2 linked regions of the Callithrix jacchus genome follow. The protein of the gene in region 1 interacts with the protein of each later gene in a pairwise test. Links are inferred from orthologs where the notes say so. Each region holds a gene or a part of one and is shown on either strand. Other genes may lie near its edges. The genes, in order: SEC22A and STX4.

Region 1 (4,486 bases):
TAGGACCAAATTTATGTTAGTTCAGGCCTTTCTTCTGAACTCTAGGTTTACATCCAAATCTACTTGACATGTCCATTTATAAGCATTTCAAATTTAACATTCCAAACCATTTGCTCCTCCTTTTGTGTTCCATGAATCAGTAAATGACTTCTCAATCCATCTAGTTACTTAAGGAGTCATCCTTAATATTCCTCTTTTTTGACCTTTCTGGCAAACCAATCTATTAGTAAGTCCCTTGGATACCATCTTTGGTTTATATATATCTTGAAATTATCCACCTCTGTCTTTAACTCCCATTACACTAGTTCAAGCCACCATTTCTGGCTTTGTCTGATGCAACTGCTTCCAACTGGCCTCCCAGCAGCCCTTCTTGCCCTCTTCCAATCTATTCCCCACAAACAGCTTGAGTGATTCTTAAATATGCAAATAAGAATCTACTTAATAATAGTCTTTATGAGCTGCCCATTGACCTTTGGCTGAGATGAGACAAGGGCCAGACCACGCTGGCTCTTATTGGCCACATTACAGATTTCAGGCTGTATTTTGGAAGATATCTTAAAGTCAATGCGCAAAGTTTCTCCTTGTTCCCTACACTCCATCCACATTGACTTCCTTTTAGTTCCTAGAGCACACGAAGTTATGTCATGTCCTAACAACCTCACACATCATATTTCCTTGACCGGGAACACTCTCTAAGGCTCTTTAATATGTCTGCAGCTTAAAAGGCACTTATTCGGAGGGCTCTTCCCTGACAGTCCAAAATTAATTCATCATTGCACCCACTAATTTTCCCTCCCAGTACTGATCACAATTTATAATTCTGTAACTATTTGTGCTTTAATGTCTCTTGCTCCTATTACGTCTTAAATTCCATCAAGTGTTACGTCCACTCCTGTAACCCCGTGCTTAACACGGTGCTTGGCACATGGTAAACAGTCAGTAAATGCCTATTTAATAATGTACGACCGATGCAAAGGCCGGAAGGGGTCGCAGGGTCTGCATCCGGCACTTCTCTGCTACGGTTAGTTTCCTTCATGTGTGCGGGAATAGAAGGGGCTAGCTCCTCTCCTTGCTCACCCAGAGGGGGCTTTTCTCCCTGTCCCTTTGATAATGTTTGCTGTAGGGCAGCTTGTGAGAGACAAATGCCTGCAGATACAGGGCGGCGAGCGGGGGAGACTGACCCTATTTCTGAAGTCAGGGCAGTTGTGTCAACAGAGGACGGGGTACTTTTCTGGCGCAGGTGCGAGAGAGGCTGCCAATCCCTCCTGCATGGGGTGGGACTAAGGCGGGTCCCGGGAGTGGGCGGGTTGTTGTGGCCTTCCCGCAGAACCCGATTGGCCTGGGCGAGCCGAGGGAACGGGGGCGTGGTTAGATTCCGCGTGTGCGAGCCCCGTTGGACGCACCGCAGCCTCGCCGAAAGGCTCCTCCCAGGCCCCACAATGCATTGCGGGGCGCGTCACTCGGAGCGGCGGGTCCCAGCTCGACAGGTACTTCCCTGCCCCTCCCAGTCCTCTTCCCTTCTTAGGGGTCGTTCGAACGCCTGCCGGCCGCTCCCCTTCCTCTCCCGGTCTCCCGCCACAGCCTCGGCCTCCGCCCTCGGGACTGAAGACCTACCCGACGGGCAGGAGCCAAGTCTGTGCCTTTGGGGTGGGAGCTGGGGCCGCGGAGCTCTGGAGGGGCGGGCAAGCGGGGACCCCGTCCCCTTCGACTTGAGGGGTCTGTTGGGCCACGCGGGTGGCAGTTGCGCTTTGTCTGTGCTGCCTCAGGTATTGGGCAGCCAGGGGAGGAATATCTGAGGGGGAGGAACAGTCGCCCTTGGCTGTCAGCGTAGTGGTGGGGATTCCCTGGCCCCCAGATGTCGGAAACACGGTGATCTACCTGTGTAAGTGGCCCGCGAGAGCTTGAGGTGGCGTTTCTTACTTCTTTTAGGCAGAATGGGACTTGAACCAGTGTCTTAGTTTACGTCTTGTGGGGATGGAGTGAGCATTGAGCCCAGATATTTGCCCACGTTGGCTCACAGAAACTTCTTGAGACCCTGTCTCAAGAGTCACTTTGGAAACGATATGGCGGAAGGGAGACCTGAGTAATTGGCTCCACAAGTGGAGGAGGTCTCCGAAAGAACAGGACAAGTCCCAGCTGGCTTGAATCTCTCTGCCAGTGAATACAGCTGAAGATAATTTTTCTCCTGTTGCTTAGTTTCCTGGATTATCCACCTGGGGCAGGTGGCGAGCTTGAGAACCAGTCCCTCCTATGCCTATTCAGCCAAGGCAAAGCCTAGCCCAGAGCAAAAGTGTCAGCCACCAGACTGGAGATGTTGGATCTCCAATCGGGGGAACAGCCACTTTTAAAACTCCAATTCACTTTCCATGTTATTTATATTTGGTTACATGCTAAGATTGTAAGGGATCAGGCAATGCCTTAAGTGGTACCTACAATTTCTGGTATATTAAAGTTCATTATTTGACGTTAACACCTGTGACCGTATCCTAAATTAATAGGGACATTCAGGTATTTCCTATGTTGAAAACATCACATCTGTTTGGTGCTTTTAATTTATTTTTTGTGTGCAACTGATTAAAATAGAAGTATATCTTATGTTGGTGTATGAAAGAGGCCCAGGCACTATCACAGGGGTGCCTGTGACCTTCCTTTACATGTTTTTGAGTAAGAAATTTGCATATGTTGATAGTGTCTCACAGTGTTAGAGTTGGGCCTGAGTTAAATCCCTACTTTGTCACTTTTTAGTTTAGGGATTAAACAAATTCCTTAAGCTTTTTGGGCTTGAGTTTCCTCAAAGGTAAAACGGAACTAATAATACCTACCTCACAGGTTGTTGGAAGGCTTAAATGAGGTAATTTGTATGAAGTGTGTGGTCCATAGAGAGTAATCAGTAAATAATATAGCAAATACTTAATATAGTGCTTTTAGTATATTACAAGGCAGTGTTTCAGGTGCTTTACATGATCCTATGAGATAGATAATATTATTTTTAAAACAAGCCTATGAAATAGATACCATTAGTAGCCACAATATGTAGGTGTGAAAATTGAGATATGTCAAAGTTTGCCCAAATTTGCATGGCTGGTGCATTGTGGAGCCAGAATTAGGACCCAGGAAGCCTGGCTCCAGATTCTGTCCTCTTTATAACTACCAAACTGTACTGCCTCTTAAAGAAATTATAACCTGCTATTTTATTATTTTAAAATGAATAGCTAGTTTCTGTATCACTGGTTTCTTGCCTCTTGTTGGTTTTTGGAGACTGATGAAGCATTGTGGTATAGAGATATTAGAAATTTAGATTGAAGAACCAGTTCTGCTATATACTAGCAGTGTGACATTGAGAAAGTGAGCCTCCATTTCCTCATCTGTAAAATGGAGGTTCTACCTATCCAAATGTGGACTATGTGGCACTATGCAAATGTTGGGATTGACACCTTTGAGCATATACTGTTGGCCCTGTCCTAGATGTGAGTAAAATCTATTGTGAAGCCTGAGGTCTTATACATACTGTGCAGTGCAAGCGCCCATAATAGGAGTGTCAAAAACTACTAGTGAGGTAAAGCGCACAGGCAGAATGGTAGAAATTTCTTCCCCTTTATCACTCAATCTACCCCGCACCCTCCCTGTGCATCACAGTTAGTATAGCTTTCTGTCCAGATTAACTGCCACTGCCCCCCCAACATTCCCACAGATCTCTGCTACCACTTTTAATAAAATAACATGTACCTTATTGGTAGTGTTTCTCAAACTTTGGTACTGTCACATATGCAAGATAATTTGATTAGCAGATGAACATTTAAAAAATTCTCCCAAAATGTTCACACACATACTTGAATGAAACAAGTACATTTAATCATAAAAACCTGACACCTCAAAACTGATTTCAGATATTATTGCTAAAAAATAGAGGACAAGAAAAGTAAGTCAGTTCAAAGACCAATATTAGGTAAATAGTACAGGTGGATGAAGATAATTATGAAAGTGGCATTTAGATGACTGAAGACTGGGAAATTATGAACTAAAATAAATGAGTGCTTTTACCCCCAGTATAGAATGTTTTTATCTTAAAAATGGCATTTGTGAAAGCATTTGGCTAGAACATATATACAAAATCTACTTATATGTTGGGCTTTATTACCTTTTGAGAGATACCTTCCTGAGACATTGAACCTGTTGTCATTACCCACACAAGGTCCTGAAGAAGAGAGATGTCTTGTTATCTTAGGTCTAAGAACTTGCTAACACTACTATAGTAGTTTGGCATTATGGGAATTTATTTTCCTCAGCCTTTACATAAAGGTTTACCCAGATTTACCTAGATTCTAACTTGTGCTTTTTCCTTCAACAGTTGCTGATGGCGAGAGGAAACAAGAGCCACTATTCAGATTCCCTGTGAGTTAACTGCTGCTGTCTAAAGCGGGTATAATATTTTCTCTGTATTAAAGGTGAGGAAAAATGGACCAGTGCTATAAACATTTATCTATGG
Region 2 (4,558 bases), on another chromosome or scaffold:
ACTCGACAATTTCCAACCTCATCATCACTGAAGTTTAGAGCAGGGGATACCTATAATGATCTCTCCATCCCCCTAGTTACCCACTGTACAGAGGGAGATCAAGGCTTAGAGACAGGAAGCGATTTCCAGAAGTCCATAGCAACTCAGTCCCAGGAATCTAGGCTTCCTGACCAGGTCATAGCAGAAAGGGTCCATTCCTTCCCCTACTTGTACCTTCACAGAAGCTTCCTGGAGAGCCCTGGGTTCCAGGAGTCCATTATTCATTCCTGGCTATGCTGAGACTTGCTGAGTGACCTTGGGGACTCCTCCTAGAGAATGTAAGTTTGACGAGTGCAGGAATTTTTGTCTATTAGTCCCTGATATGTCTCCAAGTCTAGAACAGTGTTTGGTCCATAGTATGTGCCCAATAAATATCCATTAAGCGAATTAATGTTGCCTGTAATCCCAGCACTTTGGGAGGCTGAGGCAGGATTGCTTGAGCCCGAGAGTTCGAGACCAGCTTGGGCAACATAATGAGACCTCACCTCATGAAAATTTTTAAAAATAAAAAACGAGTGAATATCTAGATAGCCAGGGTTAGGGAAGTGTTACAGTCAGAAAGTCTGAAACCCAAAGAAGACCAGGAAACTGGGGGCTTTATCCTGAGATACATGAAAGGCTAAAATTTTGTGCACAGTTATTTACAGAGGGCCCATTATGTGCTTGGTAGTGAGCTAGGAACTCCCCAGATTCAGTTAAGAACGAAGTCATGACCTGATCTCAGATGTAAGGTAGGGGCTGGGGGGTGTGAGTGGTAGGGAGGCAGCGTGCTCAACAATACAGACACTTTTCTTAGCCTGAGCTGCCCTGACATGGTCTGACTGCTCAGAGGTGGTGAGTGCAGCCGGGCTGCCATGTTCAAGGAGGGCGCCGGCCGCCCACCTACCAGAGGCTGCGCCAGGAGGATGCGGGAGATTTCTGCCTTGGGTGAGGTCACCTCCCACCCCCAGATTCCCTGCTCACACAACCCTGCAATTTTCTGACGCTGACGGCTCGGATATTATTTCCCGATTTTCGAGGTCCCATGATGCTGACAGCCCCAAATGCTAAGTGGTCTGCCCACGTTCCTGGACCCGAAAGCAATAAAGGCGAAGTCATCAAGGGTACACCCACCCACTGCCTCAAAAGGCCTCTGGGGGTGGTCGGCGCGCCCCTCCCCACCTCGCGGGGGCTGTGTGGGCGTCGTTCGGTCGCTGGGGTGCCGGGGACTTCGTGATGAGAACGGCGTCCCAGAGACCGCGGTGACAGAGCCGGGACACGTGACAGTCACAGCGTCACGTTCTGCGGTCCGCGAGTTTGGGAACGGGCTGGTCACGTGATGCAGTGGGGGCATCATGGGGTGATATGAGATGCGGGTGTCTCGGCTTACGTACAAATGACGTACTCCTACGCCTTTTGGCAACCAGATTTCCGTTGGAAGTTGCAACGGTTCCGGTGAGGGGGGCGGGTTCTCGCGTCCAGGCAGCTCCGTTTCCGCTCGGGGCGCAACAACTTCCGACTCCGCCTTCCCCCTCCGGCGAGGAAGAGACGCGACCTTGTGCGCATGCCCCGAATTTATCACGGAGGGGCGGGGCTGAGGCTGAGAGAGCAAGAGAGGGGAAGAAAAGGGAATTCCAACCTGTGGAACCTTAGTGGTCCCCGGGGTCGGCTCCTTCCCATTGACTGTGGGTGGTGCAAGGGACAGAGCGTCTGGCGGCTTGTGGGGGTGTTGAGGTCCGCACCGGGAGGGAGGGGAGTGTCAGAGTGTGAGTGGGGTACGGGAATTCCAAACTTGAGGGCCTCCTGGCTCAGGCGCCGAGGAGGGAGAGCTCAGGCCGCCATGCGGGACAGGACCCACGAGCTGAGGCAGGTGAGACATGGGGGCAGTGGAGATGTTGAGGGGCGGACGAACTGGAACGCAGGACTCCTGATCTTCAGGGCGGGGAGGGATGGCTGATGGCCAGGAAGGAAAGTCCCGGAAGCCTGTGGGTCGTGCGGGGTGAGAGCCGCAGCGAAACAGTGGTACCAATGACTCCGGGCCTCGCAGGGGGATGACAGCTCGGACGAAGAGGACAAGGAGCGGGTCGCGCTGGTGGTGCACCCGGGCATGGCACGGCTGGGGAGCCCGGACGAGGAGTTCTTCCAGAAGGTAAGGGGCTGGGGTCTCTGCCTGGATTCGCGAGGGGGTAGGAAGACCCGAGGACCAGCGTGGTCTGGAGTACCCCATATCTCTTTCAGCCCTCTCGGTCACCCTCCCCAGGTCCGGGCAATTCGGCAGACTATTGTCAAACTGGGGAATAAAGTCCAGGAGTTGGAGAAACAGCAGGTCACCATCTTGGCCACGCCCCTTCCCGAGGAGAGTGAGTGAAACTCCGACTGCAGGGCGCATGCACCACCTTAGGGATTGTGGGGGTTGTAGTCCCACATAGGTGATTGCCAGGGTGGTTTGTTGAGGTGGGAGCTGCTGTTCGGAGTCGTGGTCTTCTCTTATTCAGGCATGAAGCAGGACTTGCAGAACCTGCGCGATGAGATCAAACAGCTGGGGAGGGAGATCCGCCTGCAGCTGAAGGGTGAGCTCCTGGGACCTCAGACAGATCCTTCCCTTTGATCCTGCCCTGTTGTTGGTGTATCTGGGGAGTGTGTGGCCCAGAGAAGCCGATGATATAACCAGGTCACACAGCAGGCCTGGGTCTAGCATCTCTGTCTCCTGGCCTCCAGGCCATTGTACTCTCCACAGGACAAGCCGGCCTCTCAGGTTCTTTTATTTACAATGTAACCATTTACTTACACAGTTATTGCAGCCCACTGGGCATTCTTTGGGCAAGAGGATGGGGTTTTGTTAGGTGGCCTCTGCATACCTATGGGAACTCAGTGATGTAATGCAAAGAAAAATAAACGTACTTTCTCCTCTTGGAGGCTCAGCCTTAGTCATTTTATGATAAATTATATTTCCCTAAAAATCCATGGAAACAAGTACCCCCAGTACTCCATGTGTCTTCCCACAGCCATAGAGCCCCAGAAGGAGGAAGCTGATGAGAACTATAACTCCGTCAACACAAGAATAAGAAAAACCCAGGTGGGTTTTTTTTTCTCAGAAATGAGGACATTTCAGCAAATGTTTCATGAAGTACTGGATGACAGATGTATGAAGGAAGGGCCTGCAGAGATGGTGGAGTCCAGCGGAATGATTTTCCAAATGGGGAAACTGAACTCAGAGAAAGAACTTGCTCAAAGTCAGGAAACCAGGTCTCCTGATGCTTAGTCCGATTATAATACCCTGCTTTATTTTCTTTCATTCAATAAGAAGTTGCTATGACCCCAGACAAGACCTAGGTTTGGCTGTAGGGACACATGTTTCTTTTACTTTTTTTGCCTCAGCCTCCTGAATAGCTGGGATTACAGGCAGACATCACCATGCCTGGCTAATTTTTGTGTTTTTAGTAGAGATGGGGTTTCACCATGTTGACCAGGCTGGTCTTGAACTCCTGACCTCAGGGGACACTCCTGTCTCAGCCTCTAAAGTGCTGGAATTATAGGTGTGAGCCACCATGCCTGGCTGGGACACATATTTTCTAGGAGTCAAGATGAGGAGTTCAGGTTCAATAAGGACAAAGACATTACTCACGTAGGACTTGGTGATAATGGTGCTGCCCAGGGAAAGAGAGAAGTCATAAATGACTGGCAGCTTTCCTGCCTATGTGACAGGGAGTCCTTAGTCCCACAGGCAGAATTCAAGAAGGCAGGAAGAGGAACTTCCCTGGGGCGACACTGAAGAGGAACTTCCCTGGTGTGATATCTTATATTTTTAATTATTATTTTTTTGAGATGGAGTCTTGCTCTGTCACCCAGGCTGGAGTACAGTGGCAGGATCTCGGCTCACTGCAACGTCTACCATCTGGATTCAAGCTGTTCTCCTGCCTTAGCCTCCCAAGTAGCTGGGATTGCAGGTGTGCACTACCACACCTGGCTAATTTTTTTATATTTTTGGTAGAAATGACGTTTCACCATGTTGGCCAGGCTTGTCTTGAACTCCTGACCTCAAGTGACCTACCTGCTGTGGCTTCCCAAAATGCTACGATTACAGGTGTGAGCCACTGTACCTGGCCTTTGGGGTGATGTGACTGGCCCTCTCTGGGTCCCCAGTGAAAAGTACTTTAGGATTCTAGGAGGTCAGGGTTGGAAGTTAGGCCCAGGGTTGGAAGTGAGGACCCCAGATTGAAGATGGAGCAACTTGGGCATCTTGGAAGGGTGCAGCCGGATCCAGGAGAGTAGATGTATCTCTGGAAACGAAACTCCAAGGAACGAACATATTTAAGGCCTCAGGAGAAGGGGCAAGGCAGAGCAGATGACCTATAGCCAGTGCTTCTGGGGTAACCTGTGGTGCTGATTGGCATGAGAGGTCAAGGGCCCATGTGGGCTTGTTGCACCTGTTTTGCCTGGGCGGCATGTTCATCTCTAGGCTTATGAGCACAGTTGTGGTATAAGCAGCAAGGTTGGCATTCAGCAAGTGCCAGACCCTTTTGGAACTGTTTAGGATACA

What was found.
Region 2: the proteins of SEC22A (region 1) and STX4 interact in binary tests that used the Homo sapiens proteins (3 or more experiments, as listed by UniProt). The two-hybrid records come from large-scale screens. The link is inferred for Callithrix jacchus from reciprocal best matches to the Homo sapiens genes SEC22A and STX4.

The regions. Positions count from the first base shown.
Region 1 is NC_133516.1:79,848,557-79,853,042, reverse strand, and holds the start of SEC22A (vesicle-trafficking protein SEC22a), read left to right. Parts: upstream 1-1,455; 5' UTR 1,456-1,632; exon of another isoform or gene 1,633-1,882; intron 1,883-4,348; 5' UTR 4,349-4,354; coding exon 4,355-4,392; exon of another isoform or gene 4,393-4,445; intron 4,446-4,486. UniProt on the Homo sapiens protein: May be involved in vesicle transport between the ER and the Golgi complex.
Region 2 is NC_133513.1:30,560,169-30,564,726, forward strand, and holds the start of STX4 (syntaxin-4), read left to right. Parts: upstream 1-1,589; 5' UTR 1,590-1,858; coding exon 1,859-1,888; intron 1,889-2,065; coding exon 2,066-2,167; intron 2,168-2,256; coding exon of another isoform or gene 2,257-2,278; coding exon 2,279-2,378; intron 2,379-2,513; coding exon 2,514-2,588; intron 2,589-3,023; coding exon 3,024-3,094; intron 3,095-4,558. UniProt on the Homo sapiens protein: Plasma membrane t-SNARE that mediates docking of transport vesicles. Necessary for the translocation of SLC2A4 from intracellular vesicles to the plasma membrane.